Linked DNA regions of Chlamydomonas reinhardtii. Each later gene encodes a partner of the first gene's protein in a complex. Links are inferred from orthologs where the notes say so. Each region holds a gene or a part of one and is shown on either strand. Other genes may lie near its edges.

Evidence for each region.
Region 2: the proteins of CHLRE_01g015000v5 (region 1) and CHLRE_07g357350v5 are in contact, whole or in part, in a crystal structure (PDB 2RD5), measured with the Arabidopsis thaliana proteins. The link is inferred for Chlamydomonas reinhardtii from reciprocal best matches to the Arabidopsis thaliana genes NAGK and GLB1. Residues at the interface, in NP_191315.1 of Arabidopsis thaliana: Arg195, Glu208, Val209, Ala210, Arg211, Val212, Glu251, Ala254, Ala255, Ile286, Lys287, Lys290, Ile310, Arg311, Ala314, Gln315, Gly316, Gly347; in NP_192099.1 of Arabidopsis thaliana: Arg82, Trp84, Arg85, Gln88, Arg118, His119, Gly120, Gly121, Ser122, Glu123, Glu153, Thr157, Glu159.

What each region holds. Positions count from the first base shown.
Region 1 is NC_057004.1:2,573,436-2,579,425, reverse strand, and holds the start of CHLRE_01g015000v5 (uncharacterized protein), read right to left. Parts: upstream 3,654-5,990; 5' UTR 3,512-3,653; coding exon 3,353-3,511; intron 3,149-3,352; coding exon 3,017-3,148; intron 2,614-3,016; coding exon 2,469-2,613; intron 2,074-2,468; coding exon 1,940-2,073; intron 1,542-1,939; coding exon 1,380-1,541; intron 1,106-1,379; coding exon 944-1,105; intron 410-943; coding exon 281-409; 3' UTR 1-280. UniProt on the Arabidopsis thaliana protein: Involved in the arginine biosynthetic pathway via the intermediate compound ornithine.
Region 2 is NC_057010.1:6,337,734-6,343,723, reverse strand, and holds the start of CHLRE_07g357350v5 (uncharacterized protein), read right to left. Parts: upstream 3,302-5,990; 5' UTR 3,103-3,301; coding exon 3,059-3,102; intron 2,921-3,058; coding exon 2,823-2,920; intron 2,477-2,822; coding exon 2,370-2,476; intron 1,926-2,369; coding exon 1,824-1,925; intron 1,597-1,823; coding exon 1,511-1,596; intron 1,159-1,510; coding exon 1,054-1,158; intron 454-1,053; coding exon 378-453; 3' UTR 1-377. Other genes in the region: CHLRE_07g357300v5 (uncharacterized protein), read left to right, coding at 3,513-3,707, 3,976-4,044, 4,419-4,466, 4,744-4,782, 5,062-5,139; CHLRE_07g357250v5 (uncharacterized protein), read right to left, coding at 5,850-5,990. UniProt on the Arabidopsis thaliana protein: Participates in sensing carbon and organic nitrogen status and regulates some steps of primary carbon and nitrogen metabolism.

The DNA.
Region 1 (5,990 bases):
GACGAGGGCCCACCGCCTGACCAAGCCTGACGTCGCGTGGCTGGCGCTCCCAAGCGATGCGACTGAAGGCATCCTAGCCTCCTGGTCCTCCGCACAGACGAGCCATAAAGGGCAGCCCTTGCTGGACCCTTCCAGGCGCGCGGCAGGCTCTGCCCCAGGGGTGCTGGGCCCAGGCTTCACGGCAATCCCATGCTCACGTGTCACCACCACCGATCCCCGACAACCCTCCCATTGTCTCGGTGTGCCAAGCCGCCCACAACCAAATTAGCACATGTCTAATCTAGCCGGTGATCATGGTGCCCACGCCCTCGTCCGTCAGCAGCTCCATGAGAATGGAGTGGCTGGCGCGGCCGTCAATGATGTGCGCGGCCTTGACACCTTGCGACAGGCAGCGGATGCAGCACTCAATCTGCGCACACACAGGGCAAATGCAAGACAATTCAGAACTGACAAAACATTTCGTTAGGGGGGCAGTGAGCCTAGTGGTGCGGCATGAGAGACTGCGCTTGTGGGGCAGTCGCTCGTGGTGCACACACACTTGCAGACGTGGCACGCAAGCTGCTGGTTACTGCCCTGACGAGACAGTGTATGGTTCTTAAAAGGCAAAGTTGCTTGTTGCGCTGTAGGTGCTGATGTATCATGGCCGGCCCGACCATGGGTGCCAGCCTCTGCAACACGTCGTGCAACGAAAGGCCCGTTGTGCAGCCTTCTTTGTTGACTGGCATTCACAAGCGCTGCTGTCTGTGTAACTGCTTCTGGGTGTAAACATCCGCAGTTCGGGTGTACCTGCCTGACCAAGCAACCCCCCGGCCATGGTATGCAGGCCGCGACGCCCTGCGGCCACCCTGCGGCCGCCCACTGGTCCGTTTGCAATCCATGCCACTGGCGACCCTCTGTCCCGCACCATGCAGTTGCATCTGTCCTCGCATCTACGCATACGCACCTTGGGAATCATGCCACCAGCAATGACGCCGTCCTGAATCAGCTCGCGGCAGGAGCGGATGTCCAGCGCCTGGATCTTAGTGCCGATGTCGTTCTTGTCACGCAGCACGCCCGGCACGTCCGTCATCAGCACCAGCTTCTCAGCCTTCAGCGCCGCCGCAATCTGCGAGGCCACATGGCGTGTGCGCCAGCCCAGAAGCGTCCGCAAGCGTAAATAGCAGCATCAGCCACCCAGGCGACAAGCATGAGACATGCACCGGCGTGCCCATATGCAAAGACCAGTTGCCCAGCAAACCCTTTCTTAGTATCGTAGCTGGGGCCCAGGCGTGTCAACAGGCCCACCCGCCAGCGCAATTGCTTACAACTCAGCAACTGAACCCTTTTAAGCTCCGCCCACCTCGCCCCGGCGCGCCTCGGCGCTGCTGCCGCATACCCACCTCGCCGGCGGCGGTGTCGGCGTTGATGTTGAGCGCCTGCCCCGAGTAGTCGGTGGCGATGGTGGCAACCACGGGGATGTACTCGTCCTCCACCAGCACGTTGAGGATGGTGGGGTCCACCTTGGTCACCTCGCCCACGTACCCAATGTCCAGCTCCACCATCTGGCAGGGGGTGAGGCACAGCCGGTCAGCCCAAGGCGTCGGCCCAAGTATCGGAGAGACGCCATCCACTCTCAGCCGGCTTGGCGGCTGCGTGCGGCCGGCCGCGTGCTGCTGCCAGCGCTTGGGTGAACGCGGCCGACGTACCATTTGCCATGGCCTTAGCAGAAGTAGGTGTATCGCCTAGGCAATCGGCCTAGCCTGCATATTTCTCCCATCCGCTATTCCTTTCAGTATCCCGCATGTTGGTGGACACTTAGCGCCCGCACGAGCGCGAACTGGGCACCAACAGAGCCTGTTCGGCCGAAGCGGCCTCAAATCCATCTGTCACAAATTCCCGTCAGCCGCAACCTACTCCATGGTCCATACCGCTGCGCAGCCCACACATTTCCGCGCCGCACCTGACGCGCCCGCAGCAGCTGGCCGTCCTTGCCGGTGAGGCCCACTGCCTTGCCGCCCGCCTGTTGGATGAGCGACACCAGCGACTTGTTCACGCGGCCGCCCAGCACCATCTCCACGATCTCCATGGTCGCGGCTGCGGGGTCGGGCGCGGGGAAGGGATAAGTAACGCCACGCGGACGCATATCCCCGGTTTCGAGTCTTGCTCTTCAGTCTCGTTACGTCATCCGGCGGCCGCCGACTAGGATTTCTCCGTCATTGTCCTGCCCTTCGCAGCCAACGAACGAGGCAGGCTGCGCACCGCCTTGAGTCGCCCTACACGAAGCCCGCCAGTGCCCTGCCCCAACCAGGCGTAACTGCATCGCGGCAGCCGTAACGCCGCTGGCACACCATGCATCCGCTAACCCAGCGCAAAACACAAATATAGGCCCTGAAGTTGAACCGAAAGGAATCTCCATCCACATTATGCCGCCCTTTCCAGCAGCTGCGCTACTAGCCCCGTGGCCCCTCGTTGCGGTGTGGCGCACCCACCATCGGTAACACGCAGGCCGTTCTTGAACACTGCCTCGATGCCGACCTTGGCCAGCCAAGAGTTGATTTCAGGGCCGCCGCCGTGCACCAGCACGCACCGTATACCCACGCACGACAGCAGCACCAGGTCGCTAATCACGCCCGCCTGAGGTTACGAGCAGCGGATGGCAGCATAGCACCAACACAAACAACACAAAACATTAGCGCATGCATATTATGTAAGAGCAGGCCAGGAACTGTGTCGTGCGCAGTGTCGTGTGGGGTGCAGGTAGGGCGCTCGACGCGGCCGGACGGTTGAAACGGGGCGCATGGGCAAGGCAGGGCAGGTCGCGCTTTCCTTGGGTGCCTGCCACCCGCTTCGACGAGTACTCGACGAGTACGGGCAATCATTGCTGCTGCAACTGTACATGGTCAGTGTAGCACTGCATGCTCCCTCTGCATGAACCATTCTCCATGCGCACGGTGCTTTAAGAACCGGCAACACGCATGGGCCCATCCGCTTGACCACTCCCTCTAGCGCAGCGCCACACGCATACGCAGCCTCCCACCTTGAGCGTGGGGTCCTTCATCGCCGCTCCGCCATACTTGACCACGACGGTCTTGCCGCGGAACTTTTGGAGGTAGGGCAGCGCCTCCGACAGAATGGTCACGCGGTCCAGATTCGTCAGCTGCTTCCTCAGCTGCGGGTGTCGGCACAAGACGAGGGGCCCCGCTTGAAACTAGGGTTGGGTCGCGTGTGGAGAACCTCGTGTTCAGTGGCCGTCCACAGAAGATCATGCGCACGAGTGAGTGCGGATAAGTACCAACTAGTATGCGAGGGCCGCCAGAAGCGCTCAAAGGCGAGTGCACGTGCTAGGCTCCGCGGCAATCGCAAGCTTGCGCACCTCGGCCTCCTCAGCGGTTGCAGCTGCCATAGCGCGAACGTAAATGCCATGCTTGCGAGTGGGCCGAGACGCGCGGAAACCCGACACAGAAGGCAGCCCGGTGACGCTGCGGCGAGTCGTCACGCTAGGGCTCGTCGTCTTGGCCGCGAGCAGCGCCATGGTGCCAGCAAACAGTAGGACACAAGAAGTAGCCTAAGCTGAGACTTGTTGCGTAAAAGCCTGGCCCTGGCTCAAGCCCTGTGGAATGATCCTTTGTAGGAACGAGGCTACACTATCCAATACTACACGGTCTTGTCAATCGTACAATGCATACATAGGGCCGCAGCAACCGGTCGATACATTTTGTCCGGGGAAAGTGCATGCAAGCAAAGTGCCCATGCACAGTCGTCACGTTCTCGCCCCCGCGCTCTTCCATCAGCCCTCTCGTCATTCCTGCTTCCTGCTGCCAGCCCTTGCCTCACCGGGGCGTCCCCCTGGTCGCGCCTGGGCCCCACCCTGGCTTTGCGTCTTAGTTCTCACGAGACTGGTGAGTGGAGGAACCAACAGCCCTTCCCCTAGGAGCACACACGTGTCTGTTTGGTGGTATCGCCTGGCCGGGCGCCCGAGCGTGAGGAATGCGCGTCAGCAAACTTCCCGCCAGCCAGCAACTTGTCGGTACAGTAACTCCGGCGTTCGACCAGCCGCGCGCTCATGCACTACCGTAGCAAACTGTTTGCCATCTGCTGGGGTCTGGGCATCAGCTGCACCCTACAGGCGGGACTTCACCAACCTGCCTTAACACTGTCCCATCGCACCCATATGAGCACGCACACACACGCACACACATACACACACACACACACACACACACACACACACACACACACACACACACACGGGCGGGCTTCGTTTTGTTGTTTTCTTTTCAACACACACACACACACACACACACACACACACACACACACACACACACACACACGTCCAGCCGTTCTGGATGCGTGTACTTTGCACGTGCGGCGTGCGGCGCGGCAATCCTTGCAACTACCAACACTTTAACTGACACACGGGGATCACAAACGGGCTTCCGCGCAACTGTTAACGAACAGGGGCGGCGGCGCGTGGCGTGGTAGTTGGCGCGCGGCGCGAGTGGGAGGTGGTAGTTGAGCGCGCACGCGTGTGAGAAGGTGCGGCGGAGCATGGTACGGTGGAGCACGGCTGAGACTGGCGGTTGGGAGTGAAAAGTCGTGCGCGCGCCGTTTGGGACCCGCTTTGGTGCTGTCGTCAGCTGCGTCGGCCTGCTAGGCTCGCGCTTGGTGTGGCTTGTTGTGGGTGGACGTGTGGTGCCTTCGACTGCGCTTTTGCGCACAGACTAGCTTTGCGTTGGATGTCACGGACTAGCGATGCCTTATGAGCCGCGAGCCTTGTGATTGTCGGGACAAGTCTCCACATTCAACACATGCGCACTGACACAGCTGGGCTCTGAAGCGCTGGTGCGCATGAGTTCACGTCTAACAAGGCTGCCGATGCACATTGTCCATTCGTCACGCGGCAGAGAGTTGAGCGCGGGGTGGTCTGGGTCGAGGGGATTCCATGGATAGGATCCTGCGTGTGACCGAAGCCTCAGAACAGGACCGCTGATGGCACGGAGTGATAGTGCTCGTCAAGAGGAGTCGATTGACACCACTTTGGTATAAAATGGAGGGGTTTTAACCCCTGAACAACAAGGTTTTGTCCGTCGGGGGGTCGGTCGTCCCCTCAAGGGGGGTCCCGGGGGATTTCGGGGCATGGGGTCTGGCACTTTGTTTCCTACCCCCCCCCTGGTCAAGCAGCCCGCACCCGCGCGGCGGTGAGAAAGCAGCGGCAGGGACGCGCATTATATTGACTTGACATGCGCGAAGAGCCAGGGGGGGTAAGAATAACAGAAGCCCATGCCTGAAAATAACGCTGGTACTTTCAGTTGTGGGGCTGAGCCCGCGGAGCGAAGCGAGAACACAGGGGCCGGACCGCCCCTGTCCGTGGCGCCCGCTGCGTGCGTGTTGGCTGCGTTAACGGCAAAAAGTATCATACTGGCACAAACAGCGACTGCTAAGGATTAGTGTTCGCTATTGCCTATTGCATGTAAATAGGCGACAGGGAAAGTTCCGGCGGAGCGAGAAGTGCCTTCGCACAAGCATCAACAGTTGACTTCCGCGACCTCGCATAGAAAGGCGCCCGCGCGCGCTTTTAGCGGATCTTTGAGGCAAACTATGTCGGCGGCAAGCATTTTGGGGAACTATAGCGCGAGTTCTCAGGGACTTCCGGAGCCATTCCTGTCGCCGCGCCTGAATGCTGAGGCGTGCTGAGGCGCCCCGAGGTCGCTCCGGCCCCGCGCCTAGCCCGATAAGCGTGGGGCGTCGGGTGGTATTCATAACGGTTGATAGCAAGGTGGTGCTTCGGTTCTGTGGCAAGGGAGCCTGCGGTGTGTGTGGATGGTGTGGAGTACCAACACGCGTGTCTTGCCCTCCCAAGCCCGGAGCTGGTGCGTCGTCGGCGACAGAGCATAAGTCGCGGTCCCCATGCTTCTTCAGGGGCTCAGCCCATTTTCCAGCTGTTCAAAATTGACACCCCCTTGTATGAATGCGGGTTACAAGAAGGGGACAGTGCAATGAAAGCACCG
Region 2 (5,990 bases), on another chromosome or scaffold:
GCCCACACGCACCCGGTCCCACCCCTGGCCTGCCGCGTGCCGGCCTCCTCAAAGCGGCCCACCACTGCCCCGAGCGCCCTGCACGGCCGCCACAGCTCTGCCTGCCGCCCCAACCTTCGCCGCTTCCAGCGCAGTCATCGGCTCGAGTCCCGCCCGCACCCGCCGCAGTGACCCCACGCCACAGTCTCCGCCCCGTGCACCCTGCGGCCAATCCCCCTTCACCCCAACACGTGCAGTATGCTGCACGCGCCTCCCACTCCAGTCCCCCAGCCCCCCAGTCCCCCAGTCCACCTCTAGCTCAAGCCGGACTCCTCCTCCACCACTGCTCCCGCCCTCAAGCTCCCCCCCCGCCTCCGCCTGCAGCTCCTCCACCCGCTCTACTTCTTCTTCTTCATCATGTCCTCCATGCCGCCCTCCATCTTCTCAGCTTCCAGCCCAGTCTCGGCAGTGCGGCTGTGGCGAGGGGGAGACACAGAGGGGGGCCAGAAACGAGGGATTAGCAACCAGAGAGGAGGGCGGGTGTGGCGGGTGTCGGCAGTCAGCGAAATGGACAAGCGAAGGCAAGGGGGTGGCGGGTCGAGCAGGGGACGAGGACGCGGGGTCTGGCCCGGTGACGGCGTGTGTGGCCAGATGGCAGCGGGTGCCTTGGCCCTGTCCCGCCCCGCACCCCGCTCCTCTCCCCCCGACCGCACTGCAGGCCCCGCCACAGCTCTCACAGCGCCTGGTGCACACCCACCCCACCACCCACCCCACCACCCACCTGACCGCGACACCTGCACTCGCCCACCCTGGCCCCGCCCCCACTCCGTCCCTGTTCCTGCCCTCGCTCCGCCCACACCAATAAGGTGGGTACTTGGGTACCAGGCCGCTTGGGCCTGCCAGCATTCCCGTCTCCAGCCCTCCCCTCGGTGCGCCAGCTTGCCTAGGACATGGGCGTCACCACCCCGCTCTGGCCTCTCATCCCCGCCCGCCCCCGCCCGCCCCCGCCCGCCCCCTGCCCCATCCCCGCCCTGTACCTGTCTTCCTCTCCCTCCCCCGGCCCCCGCCACTCACATGCGCACCACCTCCGCCACGGGGTGCACGAAGATCTTGCCGTCGCCGATCTCGCCCGTGTAGGCGCTGGCCGCCACCAGCCGCACCACCGCGTCCACCTGGGCCCTGTGCGGGGGGGGGGGAGACCAGTGCGTGTGTGCGTGCGTGTGTGTGCGCGTGCGTGTGTGTTTGGCGGGAGATGGGGCGTGTGAAAGGATGTGGAGGTGAGGGCGTGTTGGGCTGTGTGTTGGGGCGCGGGGTGTGGTACCGGTACGGGCAGGGGCTGCGGCGGCCGCTGCACAGCCTTCACGACATCCCCTTCAGTTGAGGCGGGCAGCGCGCAGCAGCCTCCGCGCAGCAGCCTCCGCATGCGCCCCTGCATCCAGCCCCCCTCCCGGGCTTGCTGCCTCCTCTTGCTGCTCTCATCATACGTAGGCCCCCCCGCCCCCTCCCTCCCCCCCTGCTGCCGGCCCCCCACCTGCTGACCACGATGTCCAGCTTCTCCTTGTCCACCAGGTTGGAGGGACCGAACTCAGTGCCCGCGTAGCGCTCGCGGGAGCCGCCCTGAGGGGGAAGGTACAGAGTGAGCGAGCTAGTGTGTGAGCGGGCGACACACCCGGGGCGGAAGGGAAGAGCAGCAGCACCGCTGCAAACACGGAGGCGGTTTGGCCAGCCCCACTGCCCCACTGCCCTATTGCCCCAAGTGTGTCGCTGCCACCTGCCACTGCGGAGACCCGCAGCCCGCTCCCCTCATCCCAGCAGCCCCCCGCTCAGCTCTGGCAGTCCCCCACCTGCACGCCCACGCCCTTGACGGGCGTGTTGGTGAGGCCGCGGATGCCGTACTTGGACAGGGTGTCGATCACGAACGGCAGGCGCCACGGCCGGAAGATGGCCTGAGCAGGCAGCGGGACAGTGGGGCGGTGGGGCGGTTGGGGGAGGGGGGGGTTCAGCCATGCCCCATAGCCCGAGCCTACAGCCCCGCATGCCGTGGCGAGGGCCAGCCGCGGCAGGTGCCGCCAGCTGCCCACAGCTGCCTATACAGCTGCCCACACAGCTGGTATATGGCTTGTGCGGAGGCACCACCCCAACAGCCATGTGTGAGGCACCGGGCTGGGGTGGCTGGCTGGGTGGTTGCGCCGCATCAGCAGCAGGCCAAACCCCCTGCTGGCCCTCCAGAGGCACTGCTGGCCCTGCCCCCCCCCCCCCTGTCAGTGCACCCAGCCAGCGGCAGCAGCACAGCCCACATGCCCCCTTCAAATACACACACACACACACACACACACACACACACACACACACACACACACACACACACACAGTCGCCCCCCTCCCCCCACCTCGATGCGGAAGAACTTGACGCCGGGGAAGGCGCTGAGGTCGCACTGGATGGACTCCAGCTCCGCGTACGTGGCGCGCCGCACCGACACCGAGCCGTTCTCGTCGCCTGGGAGGGGGGGTGCAGGGGCGGGGGTGATGGTTGGTGGGTACGTGTGTGGAGCTTGTATGTAGTAGTGTGTATGAGTAAGAGAGGGATATGAAGGGCATGCGTGGCTGTGGTGCCTTGGCGGGAAGTGCCGCACACGGTATCCGCTGCAGCTGTGTGTTGCTGGCTGGCTTGTCCGGAAGCATGCATGGACCTCGCAGCATTACACTGACAGGTGTAGCCAGCTACCCCTCTTGTGTAGAGTATCGGCCCTCCGACTGTGTTGGCTGAGCGTGTAAGAGTGCGGCCGTTCGCCGCATCTCCGCTAACCCCCGGCACGTTGCCCCCGCCCACCCACCCCACTTACTAGCCCGGACAGCGACGGACGCCCGCCGCGCCGGGCGCGCCGCTTGGCAGCGAGAAGCAATGGACCGAACAGGCACAACAGCTGCACTCCGCGTCGACCTACAATTGCCACAGCAGCGTCACCAAACTCGGCGTCACGTTGGTGATCGTGCACCGCGGCACGTTTGTGCGCGAGCCCATTTACAACAGCTCGGGGTCCGCATGTGAGTCTAAGAGTCAGTTGGGGCTGCGGCGTACCGGCCGACGACGGCAGCGGAGGAAGTCCGCGAAGCAAGGGCCATGTTCAGTCGCTCGTCCGATTAACGCGGTAATATATGAGCTCAAATAGATGACACTAATCTAGACACTGGACAGTCAGCTGCTGTCAAAGCGTCGCGAGTGTGCAGTCTGCGCACAGCGGCGTGCTCGCTTGCCAGAGGGCTCGCGCACTTTGTAAATGCAACAAACACACTGGTGAGTAACAGTGACTATGTGTAAACGGGAGTGGCTCTGCCTGCTGTAAATGAGAAAACGTGATGCTAGAACCCTTGTTTGCCGACTCGGGTGGTGTCGCCATTCCCCAATTGGATCGACAAATACACTTATAATGATACCAAACTTCCACTACATCATTCCATAGTCGGTCGCTGAACTACTCGCAGACTTTGCTTGCACCAAACTCGGGTCCGTCTCCGTGGAAAACTCTCTTATTATGCTTGCGTCTCGACAATGCACCAGTAGCAGGAATGCATGCGTCTACAATCGGACGCATGCCCTGCCGGGTCTGAGCATGCCAGCTCGCCGCCGACAGCTCACCGCGTGCGTCGTGGCCGAAGCTGCGGCGAGCGGCGGCAAGGTCATCGCCATGTACACGAAACCAGGATGCGAACTTTGCGAGGGGACGAGGGTGAGCAGCGGCTTTGCGTGCTGGTACTGCCGCGTGTAGGGGTTCCGGGGGCCAACACCCACACTGGAACAGTGGCTCGCGGCCCAATCGTGAGCGCTACGCGTGCCCTGCCCCCACAAGCCACCTGGCGCCCCCTATCTTTTCCGTAAGCAACTCCCATGGCCAGACCCAATTCCGGGCACACGCCCATGTACAAAAGTACCCAGCCTGCCCTGTGTTTCCTCCCTCCTCACGTGCGCCTAGTGCCGTCCACCTGCCACCCCCACAGGACCGGGTGCAAGGCATTATCGACCGCGCGCAATTCATGCCCAGCGCAATCGCCGAGTGGCGCCTGGAGGTGTGTGTGTGTGTGTGTGTGTGTGTGTGTGTGTGTGTGTGTGTGTGTGTGTGTGTGTGTGTGTGTGTGTGTGTGTGTGTGTGTGTGTGTGTGTGTGTGTAATTGTGAACATGTGTGTTTAGGCGAGTATGTGCGCGGGGGAGGGGCGACAGCGAGTTGTAGGCCAGGGGGGCAGTGGGGCCAGAGGCACGTGGTGTGGCGCTGCGCAACCAGTCCTGCTGACTAACCCAGCGCGAGGGCATGGGATGACGCCCAGCCCTGTGCACCAGCTGCAGATCAGTTGCACGTGGCGTTATCCCGGCACCCACCTGCCCATCTGCCCTCGCCCCCACCCCCTCCGCCCGTCCGTCCGCCCCTACCCCCCTCCTCCTCAGGAACGGGACATCACCACCAACCCCGCCTGGGCCGTGTACGAGATGGAGGTGTGTGTGTGTGTGTGTGTGTGTGTGTGTGTGTGTGTGTATGTGTGTGTGTGTGTGTGTGTGTGTGTGTGTGTGCGGCCCCGTGTTCACCTTACCCGGTGTGTGCGTGCAGCCGCCGCTCCCTGCCTGAGGAGCTTGTCAGCGCAGTGGCCACCGGAGCTGAGTACCGTAATGGCCCCAGCCTCTGACGCTGCTGCGACAGGCGCCGCTACTGCGCTTGTAACCGGGCTCGAATATATGCATATGCGCGTGTGCATGTGTGTGTTTGCCGCTGCAGGTGCCGGTGTTGGTGGCGTCGGGCTCAGACGGGAGAGAGGTGGGTCAGATTGGGTACACGAGCAGGAATGGGGGTTGGCGGTATGCCTAGGGGAGAGGGCGGTCCGGAACGCGGGGATGGACTCCCCAAATGACTCTAGGCTTGTCGCTGGCATGCAGCGTGTATCATGATGTTGATGGTACGTGCGTGAGTGAATGTAGCTCTTGCACCTGACCTGTCTGCTGCGTGATGGTTGCATGGGCACGCGCACGCAAACGCTGCCCCCTTCAACCCTCTCCACCCCATCCCGCACCCACCCGCCCCGCCCACCTGCCTCAGGTCCGGCTGCCCCGCTGGCCGCCGCGCATGACAACCGACAAGCTGCGGCAGCACATCGAGGCGTCGCTGCCGCAGTAGCAGCAGGGCAGCAGAAGCAGAAGCAGCAGTGCGTGTGTGGTGGCGGCAGGGGGCTGGCTGACACGGGTGACGGGGCGATGATCACGGGAGGGGGGGGGCAGTCGGACACGTGCAGCAGGCTACCACGTGGTCGCGTGGGGTGGAGCATGTCACGCCGCCAGCAGTATATGCAGGATGAAACCTGGAGGGGCGTGTGATAGTGTATGTCGCTTTATGTTGACGTGTACCAGTAGGCGCATACGATAGGATTCGGACTATCCCTGCAGAAAGGAGACGCATGGGACTCGGACTGCCCCTTCTTGTACTGGCGCATTCATTGGAGTGTTGTGCTGAGCAGGTAATGCGTACAGGTACTGCTTGCTGAGTAACAGGGGTGAAGTGTGCATGGGAAAACACCCTCGCCTTTCTGGCGCGTTTGCTGCAGCACAAGGAAGAAATCACGTGTGATGGTGTCTGCAATGGCGTATGTGCATGACCGGAACAACGGCTAGCGGCTTTGTTCGCGCATATATATGTATGGTATGGTGGGCGCATGAGGGTTACAAGCAATCGGTTGTAAGGACACACAGCGCCCAGATCTCTACATCCCTCTGAGTCCGTGAAACTGCACGGCCCTGGACGCTCATGTGTGTGTGTGCGCGTGTTTCCCAAGTCCTCCGGTCCCCAGCACTGCACCCACGCCTCCCCGCCTCCCCGCCTCCGCCCACGCCTCACGGCTGCCAGCTCAGCAGCAGCTGCTGCACACGGCCGTGCCCATACCCGCCCGCCTCCGCCGCCGCGCACTGCCTCACCCCCGCCTCGGCCCCGGCCCCCGCCGCCAGCAACAGCGCCACCACCCGCCGCCAGCCCAG